2 linked regions of the Astyanax mexicanus genome follow. The protein of the gene in region 2 interacts with the protein of the main gene of each other region in a pairwise test. Links are inferred from orthologs where the notes say so. Each region holds a gene or a part of one and is shown on either strand. Other genes may lie near its edges.

The links.
Region 1: the proteins of hmg20a (region 2) and rpp30 interact in binary tests that used the Homo sapiens proteins (3 or more experiments, as listed by UniProt). The two-hybrid records come from large-scale screens. The link is inferred for Astyanax mexicanus from reciprocal best matches to the Homo sapiens genes HMG20A and RPP30.

What each region holds. Positions count from the first base shown.
Region 1 is NC_064422.1:25,766,558-25,774,857, reverse strand, and holds the start of rpp30 (ribonuclease P protein subunit p30), read right to left. Parts: upstream 3,446-8,300; 5' UTR 3,172-3,445; coding exon 3,090-3,171; intron 1,690-3,089; coding exon 1,634-1,689; intron 1,537-1,633; coding exon 1,480-1,536; intron 1,393-1,479; coding exon 1,327-1,392; intron 1,230-1,326; coding exon 1,161-1,229; intron 935-1,160; coding exon 845-934; intron 540-844; coding exon 423-539; intron 329-422; coding exon 299-328; intron 168-298; coding exon 130-167; intron 1-129. Other genes in the region: kif20bb (kinesin-like protein KIF20B), read left to right, coding at 4,117-4,221, 5,704-5,793, 5,912-6,031, 6,137-6,275, 6,370-6,554, 7,265-7,325, 7,425-7,622, 7,777-7,888 and 1 more. UniProt on the Homo sapiens protein: Component of ribonuclease P, a ribonucleoprotein complex that generates mature tRNA molecules by cleaving their 5'-ends. Also a component of the MRP ribonuclease complex, which cleaves pre-rRNA sequences.
Region 2 is NC_064409.1:44,231,486-44,239,512, reverse strand, and holds the start of hmg20a (high mobility group protein 20A), read right to left. Parts: upstream 3,322-8,027; 5' UTR 3,182-3,321; intron 2,603-3,181; 5' UTR 2,560-2,602; intron 1,107-2,559; exon of another isoform or gene 1,097-1,106; 5' UTR 1,077-1,096; coding exon 1,011-1,076; intron 791-1,010; coding exon 581-790; intron 1-580. UniProt on the Homo sapiens protein: Plays a role in neuronal differentiation as chromatin-associated protein. Acts as inhibitor of HMG20B. Overcomes the repressive effects of the neuronal silencer REST and induces the activation of neuronal-specific genes.

The sequences.
Region 1 (8,300 bases), on a different chromosome or scaffold from region 2:
AACTGCATTATTATGCTATAATATTATCATTTCAGTTCCACGAAAGGGTTTTAAATACAAAAATATATAATTTATCACAATAAAACACAGCATAACCCTTATAGTATGGTTCCAAACAGTAAAGGATACAGATTGGCAATGTCATATGGACCACGCAAGTTAAGAGGCTAAATGAGAAAACAGAAATAAAATACAGCTTAACAAAACATCTGCACTGACCATCAAAAAAAGAGAAGTATGTGGCTGTATATTAAAAGCTTTTAAAATATATATATTTCCCCGAAATCAGTGCTCTTACCGCTTCTGCCCCACTGGCCACAATGACATTCTGAGAAAATAAATAGGGATTTATTTATTTTTAAACATATCAGGTTAGTTTACATTTTTTTATCAGTGACAGTAAATATGGTATATTACATTACCTTTCCCTTGCACACAGATATTAGATTGACGGCATTTGTGATGGTGTACTTCTTCATGGTGGGGTCTCTAATGCCTGCTGAGTAGCTTATCTCGAAGAACACTCCCCTTTCAATAGCCTTAGAGAATCAACAGAGAAGAGCACAAATTCACAATTCTTACATTTGTAATATGATATTTTATTTTAAGTTAATTTCATATAATTATGGCAATAAAAAAAATAGTATTATATAATATTATATTATATTAATATTAAATTAATTTTAGAATAACATTTTCTATAACTTAGTCTCAAATACTTTTTAGTTTTTTTATTGAGGTTATCTAGAGAGAATCAGATCACACACACACACTACAATGTAGTAAGCATATAGTGTAACCAAAGCTATATATTAATAAAGTAATATTTTACATTTCTACTCACCCCGTTTACCGGTGACCTCTTGAAATGGAAGGACTGTGGTTCAGTGGCTGATATGCAGATAATATCCACATCATAGTTCATGCAGGCTGCCTGTTGCAATAACACACAATACACACATAAATAAAACTTTTTATATATAATCCACATCATTATGCATGTACAGTTTCAGCAGAGTTTTAGAAAAAAACAACATCATGTTTGTCATTTTGGAAGACAAAGTAAAGTTGCAGGATATTACAGAACTAAACAAAGAGAAGAAATATTTAGAGGGGACAACAATATAAATTTACATATTTACAGAAAAAGTTGAACTTACATGGAAGAGTTTGTCTGTTTTGGGATGAACGGCCAAAAGGTCAAAATTCTTGTATTCATTAGTAGGCCTCTACAGTAAATATCACAAATATAATCAGTTTAAAAATCAGATTTCTGTGACTGCAGTTCATAACAACATGATTACTTAGTATTTCAATTGCACTTACAAAGTGAGAGGCATCTGTGGCCACAACTGTCAATCGGTTCAGCACTTTAATAGGTCTGGATTTTCCCTACATGTGAACGAGAGTGCAGAAATTAGAAAACTAGAAAAAAAGACTCCCACATAGATTGTGTATAGTGAGATTTTGTAAAGTTACCTGTACTGTTGGAAACGTCTCAAAGAGCTCTGCTAAGGGTTGCGGAGTCGGAATTAGCTGCATTCAACATCAACACAAACATGAGAACGAAGTTAGCTGAGAAATAATGAATCGGGTTAATAGCATTCTGAAGACGTTTGGTGAGGTAAAATACCTGTTTCTTCTTTTGCCCCTCCACTACATAATTTATTGCAACTGTGGAGTAGCCAACTGAAAGAGAAAGAAACCTGCAGTTCAGTGTTACTGATAACTACCTCACAATAAACTACTACCTCATCTGTGGATAATAACTATTACTATAAATTACCTTATCTGTAAATAACAGTGGATGATACATGGATAGTAGTGTATCGTGTAAGAAAATATCGATATATATATATATCAATATTTCGTTTACCATCGCTGTATCTATAAAAAAAAAAAACAGTTTATACCCTCCTATTGTAATATACACTGTAAATCTGTACACCATAATCCATTGTCTTTTCAATCTCTTAATCATTGTAAATATTCTGTAAAACATATTTATACTACCATATTCATATTCATCCATACCTATTTATATTAAGCATATTTTGCTGCTATTGCACTTCTTGTTAGATTCTAAACCTAAATTATTCCATTGCTTTGTACTTGTACATTATAATGACAATAAAGTTAAGCTACTTTAATATATATACAGCTCTGGGAAAAATTAAAAGACCATTTAAAATGACGAGTTTCTTTAAATTTACCAAATTGAAAACATATGGAACACATTCAAGAGGAAAACAAATGATCACAAGCAATCCAAAACCAAAAGCAGCATGTAAGACTGGTGGAGGAGAACATGCCAAGATGCATGAAAACTGTGATTAAAAACCAGGGTTATTCCACCAAATATTGATTTCTGAGCTCTTAAAACTTTATGAATATGAACTTGTTTTCTTTGCATTATCTGAGGTCTGAAAACTATTTTGCATATTTTTGTTATTTCAGCCATTTCTCACTTTCTGCAAATAAATGCCAATATTTATATTTGAATTTGGGAGAAATGTCTGTAGTTTATAGAATAAAACAACATTGTTCATTTTACTCAAACATAACTATAAATGGCAAAATCTGATTCAGAAACTGAAGTGGTCTCTTTATTTTTATATTTATTTTATTTATTTTTATATAAGAGCTGTATATAAAGGTAAACAAACACAGATTCACACACTGTCCTCTAGTGATGTTTTCAGGATGATGTTCAGTACATGTTCAAATAATGGAGAGTGCTTTAAGGAACTTTACACAGATTTTATAGCGTCTGCATAATTAAACTACATCTATATTATATATTTAGCACCTGGTTATAGTTTGTATCTGTATAGAAATACACAGACAAACAATGTTTTACTTATTATCATTTTTATCTCAGTATAATGGGACTCAAGTGGTGGAGGTCGAATTCCTACAGAGTGTAGGGATTTTCCTACAAACAAACACGCCTCCTTCAACTCAAGTTAGCGCTTCATTGCCAGCCAAGTTGAGCTCATGTGTCAGAAAACACGCTAACGCTACTGAAAATCCCAGTGGTTCCAGATACGTTATGTAACACTAGTGAACTGTCTAAAAGTGAAACTTACGGTGAGCGGCGGTCTCAATAGTGCTCTGGAACTTTGCCTTGTCAGTGCCAGCGGTGATGTTTAAATCCATAAACACAGACATATTCCTTTTTTTAAATACAAATTAGATATCTAACCTAGGATAGCTAGCTAACCAATGTAGCTACTTACAACACAGCCAAAAACAAATATACACATGGGTTTATAATGCTGAGAGTAATATCTGACAGAGAACAGGCTTTCTCTAGCAATATTGTAATTGTAATTATTTTGTAGCCATGCAGCGTTGCTAACTTATTAAGCTAGCTAGTTAACTTACAATGCTAGCGAGCGGTACAGCTTGTTGAAGCATGGACACTGTTTAAACATGTGGGTTTGCGATTTTGATGGCTGCTCTTGGGAATTGTAGTTCATATGTGTACATCAGTCCATTAAATCTTACCACAAGTCGAACTGCTTAAAACTACATCTTCGTGACTTCCGGTCCCAACGGCCACTGCGGCTCGCTGGAAGCAATTTGATTGGTGCGATTTGAACGGAGGACCGCGGCAGCCGTGAACACAACAGTACTAAACTAGGCGCTCGGTACATATTATGAACAGGGTTAGATTTAAACCGGTTTAAAACTAGCTAAATAGTCTTGCTAGGGATAGTTGCGTGTTAGTTTATCTGTAGTTACACAGCCAATATGCGTTTTAGTTCGTTTTAGCTTATTTGAGCTGCTTTTGAAGCGTGTAGGATAGACGCAGGTTAACGTTAGCTAGGCTGGCTACGCTAGGTTACGTCCTTTCAACTGTGTTTTAAGCTAGCTTGGTTTGCTAGTTAAATAATAAGATGAATAACTAATTTATCATCACACTCCGCTTCTTTTACTATGGATACAGTCTATCAGCGGTAGCAACGATTAATCAGGGAAGTCTTAGCGTTATTTAAGGTAGGTAACTTAGCGTTGGTATACTCACACTGCTCTATTCATTAGTTACATGCTGATCAGCAGCGTGTTGATGTTCCTCACTGAGGTCTGTTTCTCTTTGTCTCTTTTAGAGTCATGGAGTCCAGCTTGAATTATAAACCGGAGAGAGTGGGAGCTGTCACTGTGGAAGATCTGAGAAAAGATCTGTTTGTCGAATTCTCCAAAATACCCACAACCCAGGTATTGTTTCCCTGCTTAACCTTCATCTTTTATCGTCTCTGTCTGTAACAGCTAATACTAGACCTGGTATAGTTTACTACATTGTATACAAGTGTTACCACCAAGTGTTACCACCAATCCATGTCAAGACTTATAGAGTATATTAATGGATCTTTATATTTATGGATATTTAATCTTAATTTTATCTATAAAATCAGTCAGGTCCAGCTGTCCCAGGAAATTCAACCTTGACAGTTGGTGTCAAAATAGGGCTGGATGAATTGGCAAAAATCTGTATCACGCAGGAGTGTGCTATGATGTATCATATTATATGCAATAATATCTCCAACATTTTAGACACAATGAAAAAACTCCATATCATAATATATACAGTATTGTTGACAGCTGTCTAATTGGTGCTTGATTTGCTATATATTTACCATATTTATTTTTGTTTTGATTGTTTGTTTGCAGTTTATATGTATGCACTAAATATGCTGCACTTTTGTGGCCACATTGCTTTATTATTTCTACATTGTTTATTATTTTTGTCACATTTTGTTTTATGCAAAATCAGTATTGATAAGCTACTGTTTGCAAAATTGACAAATGGTTATAGATGTTTTTCTCTCTACTGAATGTAGAAAATAAAATAATGTATTTATTTTTGATTTATTTTAAAATTTATTTTAAATGAGTTCTGCTGCAGTTTATTTTTAAATGAATAAATTGTCCTATTGTCAAGAAGTTTGCTATCTCAAAAACACCTTAACATATGGTGGTGATATTTTAGGGTCATATTGCCCAGCCCTAATATCACAATATATTTCATCTATAACAATTCTGATATTGATATTAACCGTATAAAAGCCACAACCATTGGTGTATGTAATTACAAACCAACAGAGCTGGGTGATATGGTACCAATATTATATCACAATGTTTAAAGACATTTTCACAATACCCAGTACTCAAGCAGACAAAATGCATCAGATTCTCCTAGTCAAATATTCTTTCATGCACTGTACATTGATTCTTATTTAATTTTTGCTGCTCATCTTGCATCTGGATATTTGGTTGCACATGGTCAATACAATTTACACTCTCTGTAATGAACTGTACAGTTTGGTCGCTGTTCTTTAAGTAATGATGATATCCTCAATATGCTTATTGTCGATACAATAAAAATATTTATTGCAACACAATAAAAGATTTATTATATTGTCTAGCTCAATGTCAAGTACAGAATCTTCCATCAGATTGAGCCAAAATAAAGTAGATTTTCATTATATACAGAAAACAATTAAATTATCTTGCCCCACATTTTGTTTCGGTGCACCTGATTCTGTTTTAGCCATTTTAATAAATGACTACCTTTTTATTGTTGTTGGTTACATTTCACAAATTATTTTTGAGATTTTCTTTTACATTTTTCTTTGTATATAACAATTAAGAACAAAATCTGCATTTTTTTTATACAACGAACCATGCTTTGCTTTATAGGACTCTGTGTTATTGGAGAGGGAGCATTTGCAGGTCTACCTCAGGATACGCCCTTTTACCTCCACAGAGAGTGATTTCGGTGAATCACAGGTATCGAAATATTTATAATAAGCTGGTGTTAAATTTTAGATGCAAAGCATAACTGTAATAGTGTAAGCAGATGGTAGAACTGTAATTATATTTTTTTAACTGTGATTTTCCTGACTAGGACTGCATTTCAATCGAGTCTCCAGACACTGTGGTTTTAAAGGCTCCAAGATCATCTCTAACAGCCAGGCAAAGTGAGAAACTAGGACCTCAAATTGCACAGAGATTTCAGTTCTCAAAGGTACACAGTCTAAATAGTGTTCATCTACCCTGTAAAATCTGGCACAGTGAAAAACCTTTAACCCTGTGTTAATCATGTTTTGTTAAAACTGATGATATTGTGCAGGTGTATAGTCCAGAAACTACACAAAGGCAGATATTTGATGGAACAACAAAAGCTCTTGTGAAAGATGTTCTGGCAGGACAAAATTCCCTGATTTTCACCTATGGGGTTACTAATGCAGGGAAAACTTTCACATTTTTAGGTGAGTTTTTTTTTCTTTTAGGTCTCATTTTTGTTTTAATTGGAATGTTAACTTATATAATATATGTAATCCATTTTCCGCATCTTTTTCTAAGGACCTGAAACCGATGTGGGAATTCTGCCAAGGTCACTGAAAGTGATCTTTAATAGTATTGAGGGAAGAATCTACACTCAGAATAACATCAAGCCCCACCGCTGCATAGACTTCACTCGACTGACTAAGGATCAGCAGGATGCAGAGGCTACAATTAAGAAAAACCTTCTGAGAAGATATAAAGAGGTATAACTTATTATTATTTTGTTTTTCTTTCATATCACAATATAGCGGTTATTAGTTAATATATTGTGATTCTGTAAGCAAGACTTTGTATTGTGATCTCAAAAAGTCAAATTTTAGGAACACTGTCATTGTTTAAAAACACACGACTATAAAATCTGAGCAAAAACGTTTACAAGAACAGTGGGATCTGAAGAGTACAACACTTCTATCTAGCACTCAGGGTTTAAAATATAAATATATACTCTTAATAATTTGTTTTTGAGAATCAGTACAGTATTGCAAAATGTAATTTCACAACACATTTGGTTTATCAATATTTTCCTTAACCCCTACTAATAAGGGTTCTGAACTGCTGACGCTTTAATTTGATTAGAAAACTCTTTAGTTCTTCATAATTTAAAACATCATCTTGATTTGATATGATTATTTAGGTTCTGTGACGAAGACAAAAAACAAACAAACTTAGTTTTGAATGTTTATAATTGTGTAATGATGAGGGCATAATTGTTATATAGTCAATAGTAATTTATAGTATTATAGTATTTATATTTACTTAAATTACTGTCATTTAAAGTGCTGCCTCTTGATGTGTGGTATTTTATATCTTGATAGAAATAATTAATTATAAATTTTTGTACATTTTCATGCATTTTTTATTTATTTATTTATTTATTTATTTTACATGTGCCCTTTGTCTTCCTTTTTTGTAGAATGATCTGCAGAAAAGCAGCTCTAGTATGTCAAATTCTGCTTGTAGCACACTGCTTGAGGGTAAGAATCATTTAAATTTATGTTGTTGTTATTATGTATTTATAGTTTTTGTTTAGATAAGGCAATAGACAGTGATTTCGGTTATTCCTTCACTTGTAGGTTCCAGCTGCAGTGATCTAAATGAAGACAGTCTTTGTTTGGAGGAAGACTCTCATGTGAAGTTCTCAGTTTGGGTCTCCTTCTGTGAGATTTACAATGAAAACATACATGATCTGCTTGACTTTGCCTCGAGTAGTTCTCAGAGAAGGAGCGTACTTCGGCTTTGCCAAGATGTCAAAGGCAACACGTTTGTCAAAGGTAAGTGGATAGATTGATGATTAGTCTGGTGCTTCTTTGCTGCTTACATTGTGAAAGATTCATTTTTTAAGGTGTTTACTTTAAAACACTTGATTTATACTCTATACTTTTTTTTTTTACTTTTACTGGAACTGCTTCTTTGACTTTTCCACAGATCTGACATGGATTCAGGTTAACAGTGCAGATGAAGCCTACAGAGTTTTGAAGATTGGGAGGAAAAATCAGAGCTTTTCTTCTACAAAGCTCAACAGTGTTTCCAGCAGAAGGTAGTGTTTGTACTATTGTTTGTTTATTATGAAGTTTAACAAGCAGAAATGATTTATAAAGTGATGTAAAATGTAACTCAAATTGTCTATCTTGTTTTAGTCATAGTATTTTCTCCATCCGAATTCTGCGAATCGAAGATATGTGCGTTCCTCGAGTCCAAACAATAAGCGAGTAAGTCTACATTTATTTTTCTAATGTAGTGGATAGAGGTGGTGTAGCAAGTCATTCTGCTCACAGTTTGATTCTGAATTAACAAATTGATTTTCTCACAATATTTAAATAAGTTTTAAAGTATCTTTACTAAAGTATTTCTGTTCATTGTGACATTTTACTTAAATTTGGTACTTTCGTACTTTTCACTCCATAACATTATTGGAAATCTGTTGTTCCATTTGTCCTGCGAGGGCTGGG
Region 2 (8,027 bases):
ATACAAACTCTGCACCCTGCACTTTACTTTACACTGCATCTATCAGACTTTTCCATATTATACAGCATTCTGCCCCCTGCACTCCCCACTCAACTCATTCCTTACCTGCACTTACTCATAGCTATACTGTGACATACTGACTACTTCCACACTATCCATATCTACATCTGTGCATATCTGTTCTGTGCAATATTTGTCTATAGTGTAAGTTATCATGTTTATTGTAATTAAGTGTATTGTAAATAGTGTTTATACTGTAAGTTATCTGTATGTCCTATTTTTATATATTTTATATTATTTTATTACTCTCTTGTAAATATTATTCTTTGCGCATTGGTGGGAATCTGCACCCAAGTTTTTCACTCACATGTACACCTGTACTCTGTGACGTGACAATAAAAATCTTGAATCTTGAATTGAATCTTGAATCACATGTGCCCAGGGAAATGGGCAGCATTTGTTGTAGTGTCCAGAGAACAGAGAGGGTTAAGGGCCTTGCAGCAGCTTAGCAATCTCTTCGTATGTATATATTTTTCGATTTGCTACATTTTAATTTTTTTTTTTTATAAAGTCTCCTCACCTGTTTCTCATCAGGCGGCAGTTTGCTCCACTCATTGCCAAGCATCCTGGTGATTTCTGGGAAGGGTACGTCCGGTCTCTCGGCACGCAGTTGCTCCCGCCGATCATTCATAAATCGTACATATCCGGTTAGGGGAGCTTTGGGTGCATTGCTGTCCTTTAAAGGCTTCTTTCTCTTCCTTCCTTTAGTCCAACTTGCCCTGCGTGGTTTCTGAAGGGCCAGAGAAAGACAGTCTCTGAGACCAAATTCAAAATCTTAAAGTTTAAATCAAATCATTATTCATCCCTCTCTATCTGCATCTTCTACAGTGATAGAATACTCAGAAAAGACATCTCTATGCTGATAGAGAGAATGATTCTGGTTGATATGGATTATTTTATGTACTTTCATTTTATTCAAAATATTTAATTATCATTAATTACAGTGTTACCTCCTCTCCATTCCTCTGGCTGCTGTTATCTGTGTTCGCTCCAGGTGAAGCACTCTGCTCTTCCATATCTTGTTACTCTTCACACACTAAACAGAACTACAGAACATCACACACAGACACACACATACGATATACAATAACCATAAGGTCACATTCTGTATCTCTTTCACAATTTTTCAGGGCATTTTTGCAAGAAATATATTATTAGTAATATGGAAAAGAAACATGGAAAAATATTTCATTACATTTCAACAAATATTTTACTGCAATACAAAAAGAAAGTTTTATTTCATGTAAGCTTAACAGTTTCAATCATTCAGCAAAACAAACAAAAATCGATCGTTTTGAATATTAAAGTAATTTACAAAGCAATTTGTATAAACTAATGAATATAAATAATAAATAAATAAATAATGTAGCATGAATACAATTTAATGTAGCAAAACAATCTGTCACAATACTAAATTGCAGAATATTAAGTACTTGCACTTATCACATAATCTGCAAACATAATACCATACATAATACATTTTTGGGTGGTACTTCCTCAGTGGTAATCTAAAGTATAAAAGTATACTTTTTTACAAAATATTTCTACATATTCCTGTACAGCTTTAATGACTTCAATATTAAATTTACAACGCAAAATCATAAAAAGAAATTAAACACACTGAATGAGAAGAGGTAAACACGATATGGCACACTCCTCTTACTTATACCTACTAACCCAAGTCTGAACAAAGCACAAAATTCTGCTATTTGTGTTTATTTTTGGGTATATCTTTATTACCTTTTATACAGCGAAACTGGCAAGTCTTGGCAGCATTGCAGACAATAAAATAAGTGTTAGTCTAATCAGTTAAGTTAGGGCAGTGTTTCTCAACCCTTTTTCTATCACGTCACCCTTTAAATATTTGCGAGATGTCAAGGCACCACAGTTTACGGGGGGGGGGGGGTGGGGGGGTGCTGGCGCAGTACTTCAGGTGAGAAGGGGGGGGGGGGATGCTGGCGCAGTACTTCAGACAACGAGGGGGGGGGGGTATGGGGGGGGCTGGCGCAGTACTTCAGGTGAGAACGGGGGGGGTGCTGTTGCAGTACTTCTGGTGAGAACGGGGGGGGGGGGATGATGGCGCAGTACTTCAGGTGAGAACGGGGGGTGTTGCTGGCGGAATATGAAATAAAATAGCGCGTCACAATTAGCGCGATTAGTGCTGCCTGTGATTTGGGACACACCCCGGCACCCTGGTTGAGAAACACTGAGTTAGGGCACTATCCAAGTCCAGGTCCGGGGGCGCCTCCCTGATTTTTTTTTTTTTTTTGCAAATTGGAATGTTATTTAACTTATATTCTCTATTTTTGAATTTGGTGCCTTATCAATATTCAGAAATGGGTATGGCCTCTTATGGGTTAAAGAATTTTCAGTTCCACTTTAAATTTTTCAGAATGTAACTAAGTTAGTTAACCTATCCTAGCTAAGAAACCATGTTTGGTAGTTAACTAGCTAATTACATTTGTTAGCTAACCTAGCGTTAGCTACCGCTAACGTTACCTTTTGTTGCCCGTCCCAAAACACCGAGTGGCTGTGTCCGAACCTGTAACGTTAGGTATTTGTCTCATTAGACTGTAGACAATATTTAGCAATCTGTGTTACAAACACATTACACTTACATTAAAAACATTATTAGCTAACTAAAACACTGACAACTTGCTGTCATAAATGCGGTCAGACTGAGGTAACTTACTAGGATGCGATATGAATGAGCGAAACAGACTAAGACATAAATACGTGATTTTCTGCGATCATAATACTTTATTTGTATAAATTTGAGACACAGCCTGTGTGGATATGCTGCACCAGTTAAGGTGGAATGAGAAATCCGAGTAAGAAAATTAAGTCAAATTCAGCCTCTGCGAAACATCTAGTTATCGCAGTTCTCCTGTAGCTACAGCTGTGACTGTAATCTGAACCTAATTAAAACCCTGATTATTAGAGTCTCTGCGCCGTGCAGGATAAACTCAGCTCATCGTGTTTAGACCCGCAGCAGCGACCCGACCGCAGCGGCTCCACAACACTACACTGAACTACAGCGCTTCTAACGGCGCTTCAGTACCAGAACACGGGCTGAGAGCAGCGCAGGCGAGCCCGCGGGGACAGTAAGAGAGTCACTGACCTGTATCTGACAAAATCGGAGTGTTTCAGGAGATTTTCTAAATAACAAACTGCACGAACCAAAACAATGCAAATAGCCACACGTCCGGCGTCATCACACGGCGACGGGTACGAGCTTGGTGGCGCTGTGGCCGCGGATGTACACAGTTTATGAATATGAAATATATTTAAAGTCTAAAGGCGGATTATTTGATCAATGTAATGGTGCGTTTAGATGTATTTGGATCAGAGTCGCGTGGTGCTTTTGGGATGTGTTATTTTGAGTCTACCGATTTGGACATTTTTCCCGGGGACTAGTTTGTGTGGCGGAGGGATATAGATCGGTGTTGGTGCATTCTCTCGCGAACTGACAGTGTGACCGTTGGCGCCCCCTGCTGAGACAGCGGGTTAAATACAGCCTGTAGTTTTCTATACTGTAGTCCCCAGATCAGCGCTTCATCATAAACTAAACAATATAAAATGGGGATAAATGGGGTGAATGCTTGTGATGGAATTCACGTGAGTTGTTTGTGAGTTCATTACAGTTAATGGCTGCTGTGGACAAAGTTGCAGCGTTTAAGGAGAAATTCGGTGTGAAATGGACTTGGGGTTTAGTGAAATATGATAAGTATGAACATTTGTTGAATATCTCACCTCCATTCAACCCCAGATTCTAAAATACAGCACTTTAGCGCATGCTCTGAACAGGCTTACAGTGCTAATGATAGGGACGTAGCGCTGCTTATGGCATTTCCAATGAATTAATTTGGCAGTCTGCTCTCTTATCCCAGCTATTCTTTCGTGCTTGTCAGTCAAATTATCATGACTTAATTTCAAGATGGCAGCATGCGGATAACTACCTCAGGGTACTGTGTGTATAAACAGTCTTTTTAAAGAACTGCTGGTGCACTTTTAAAGCTCTCAGTGCCTCATTTTAAATGTCAGGTCTTTTGGAATTCTACCAATAAAGTGTGGAGCTACTTTGATCTTGTTAATAGTGTAAAATTAGTGATAATGTTGTAAAATTAGTGAACTCTATGCCCCTTTTGCTAGCATTGTAAACCTGTTGGGATTATCGGCTAAAAGCGGTGAATAGAGGTGGACTATTCGACAAAAGTTTGTACTCATCATCATGTTTCACTTCACCCCAAGTCCATTTCACACCAAATTTCTCCTTTAACTTTCACACACAACGTTACATACTTATTCTAATTTATTTTACATTAATGGCATTTGTAGTGGCATTTTGTTGGTGTTAAATGGTGATGTTGGGACTAAGCAGGAACTAATGGATAGAGCTGCATTAACAAATAAATCAATTCTATTAACAACCAAATAACTATATAGCTTTTAATATATATTTACAATATAATCTCAGTTAATCTGAAAATAGTGCTTAAGTGATTTCCCAGGCTAAAGATTTTTCCATGATATAATATCCTTTTTTTTATGACATTTTCATCATGGTTCTGTAAAAACCAGAATCAAATGTGCTTATAGTCAGATACCAAAATACACAAAAGAAAAATAACACATACATTCATAAGTCAGATCCTGTGGACGTAGTAAAATAAAATAGTTAAGTTTAGAAGTAAACTTAGCCTGTCTATAAGGCCAAATAAGCTGCCCTCTAGTGATTGTTTTTAAGATTCTCTAAATAAATCAGTCAGGCCTCTTCCAAATCCCTGTATCAAAACTCCCTCGCTCTGTCTGTCATTGTCTTTAAATGTAATCAGAAAAGGCTTGTATCTTCAAAATGGCAACTTTACTGGAAAAGAGAAAAAAAACTTTTGTTTTCAATTAAATTAAAAGTAAAGAATTTTGGATTATTTATAGTAGTCCAATAATCATTAAATTCTAATATAATATGAATTTCCCAGATAAGTCAAATAAATATGTCAGCTGACATAAGTGAAACGTTTTTATATGTAAGCAACAATATGCATCATCTCTATAAATTACTAATCTGAATAATAATGAAGTAGCGCAATGGTCTTTTGAATAAGAAGTAGTATACATGTACATGTCAGGTTGTCAGTTAGAGGTGTGCTATCAAACTGTACAAAATTCTTTTTTTAGAAATAACAAAAATAGTGGTATTCTGTCTCAAAAGCAGTATAAATAAATTCTAGACAAATGTTTACAGATAGTTTTTTTTTTTCAAATTTTCTTTTTTAAGTTATACTAAATCGTCAATGACAACAACATAATTGCAGGAATTGGGTGGCACAGTGGCTTAGTGATTAGTAGTTTGCTTTCCAGTGCTGACATCTTAGGTTTAAGGACAAATTGGTAAATTGGATAGTTTAAATTCCCAGAAAAAATAGATTCTCTAATGACATGTAAATAAAATGTGGTTGCAATGATTCAATTTTGACTTTTCATTCATACTGACTGTTAATTAAAACTAAATTCCAATTACATCTTTATTGTTTATTATTTAACTGTTATATAATAAAACGTACTATAGATAGATAGATACCTGCTATCTTCTATACTTAATTTATTCTTTTAATCTATCTATCTATCTATCTATCTATCTATCTATCTATCTATCTATCTATCTATCTATCTATCTATCTATCTATCTATCTATCTATCTATCTATCTATCTATCTATCTGTTATACTTAAGCAATAGAACACGAGAGGGAGTGTGTTATCGCGAAATAAAGCATATTCAAACTGAATAAATTTTTTTTTCTTAAAGTTCAGTTTGATGATCTACGGCACGAGCCAAACCAAATCACAGCTGTAATGTTATTCGTGATAACACACAACCTCGAGTGTTCTATTGCTTTTATACAACTAAATAAATTACTAAATAAATAAAGAAAATAAATCAAAGAACTTTGAGAAATTCAGTTTGAATATGCTTTAATATGGACTGAGCCTTCCGCCAAAAAGTAGTTCCACCACAACTTAACTACATACAGTGTATGGTTCAGGCAGACTAACACCACGAAAGTTAGCTTGAAAGCAAAATTGGGAATAGTGAAGATGGTAACGTTAGGAGCGTGAAATAACACTAATACTCTCCTCTTCTGCTCCGTGGAGTCGTCTTCAGGTGAAAGCCGCGAATTTTAGCATTTCTGCTTATTTTCCTGGGTGGTGTTGGTTTTAGCTAGCTGGCTGGACTGTGGTTAGGTTAGCGAAGCTTGCTTTAGCTCAGCATTAACTTAGCTTAGCCTAGCCTGGCTGGTTAGCGTTCTGGCTGTAAGACGGAATTAACCGAGCGATTTTCGTTCCCTTTTTTCCACGAAAGACGAGCCAGCGCTGCGGGCGAGCGTGCCGCGGCTGAGCTCTAGTCTGTGCTAAGCTAACGCTGCTGCGGGTGTCCTGTGTATATACGCTGTTACTTTAGTGTGAGAAGGCCGTGATGTTATCATGAAATATCATCACGGCTAGATCACTTCTCAACCAATCAGATTGTGAGGTCGGAACTAACTGTTGTATAAAATATAACATACTATATTTATTATACTTAATGTTCACCCCATATGGCATTTTAATGTTCTTGTTGCATGTTTTTAATTTAAGCGAGCTGACGTTAAAACATGTCTGTATATACTGCGATTTTTCTAAAAGAAAGGTAACGGAGCTAACCATGTAAACTGTTATAAGATTATTTCTGATAGCTGGTTAAAAATACACAAATCAAACCCCAGAGATCAAACCCACTGTGAGCTTAATTAAATACAGTTTGTGATAGTCACTGTGACTTGTAGACTAGGATTACAGGATTACTGTCAGCTATAATGAAGGAAAATTCTTTTAGCTAGCCAAACTAGATACCTAGAAGCTGGATGTAGTGGATGGCCAGAATTTAGTACAATACTTTTTGTTGGTAGTTTAAAGCAGTTTCTTAACCCTGATCACTGCCCTGAAATTGTGTGTTTTCACCTGATCCATCATTTATTGAGTATCCCTTAGCCCCTTAGATTTACTAATGGAATATATCTGGTCCTTTGGTAAAAGCTCATGATAGACTAGGAGGGTTTGGGTTATCTAATGTTTATATTAACTTCTGCCAGAAATCTCTATGAAACATAAGGTTGCATTCTTTTACATAAAAGATTACCATGATAAGAAGTACTTTTAATCGAAACCCCCCCCCCCCCCCCCCCAAAAAAAAAAAAACCCAAAGGACCCTAAAAAAGAGTGGCGTAAATGTAAATACACAAATATATAACAGAATTGACATGTCAATAATAATAATAATAATAATAATAATAATAATTATTATTATTATTATTAAATCTGTTATATTGTTTTCAACATTAGGTGATACCTCAGCAGTTTTTTCATAATTAATTTATGAACGTATTTAATTCAGACATTGCACGCATACTTTTTTTTAACAACAGTAAATGTAAAGTGACCCTTACTTGAATGTACCTAATAATAAACAGAAGCACAGAAAATAATGGTTGATTTGTGATTAAAAGTATTTCCACAAATGTTGTTCTGAGACGCTGTAAGGTGGGCTTTGATTTAGATTAGCAGATGTGTCCCCCCCAATATCAAACCCACTCCTACGCCCTTGATTGGGTATATAGAAAGGTGCTATATGAGGCGCTTGTGTGTATAGAAAGGCACTGATGAAGTGTGATATTATGATAAATAGAAATAGATGATAGATGAAATATTAACTATACCTTATAAGATATATTTAAAAAATGCTGTAACCTCATAAGTATCTCACCTACTACAGTGTATAAACAAGAATAGAAAGAATATATGCAAGAATATATAAACATATAAATATATATATATATATATATATATATATATATATATATATATATATATATATATATATATATATATGAAATCTATACAAAGTATAAAAGTAACCTGTAGATATGA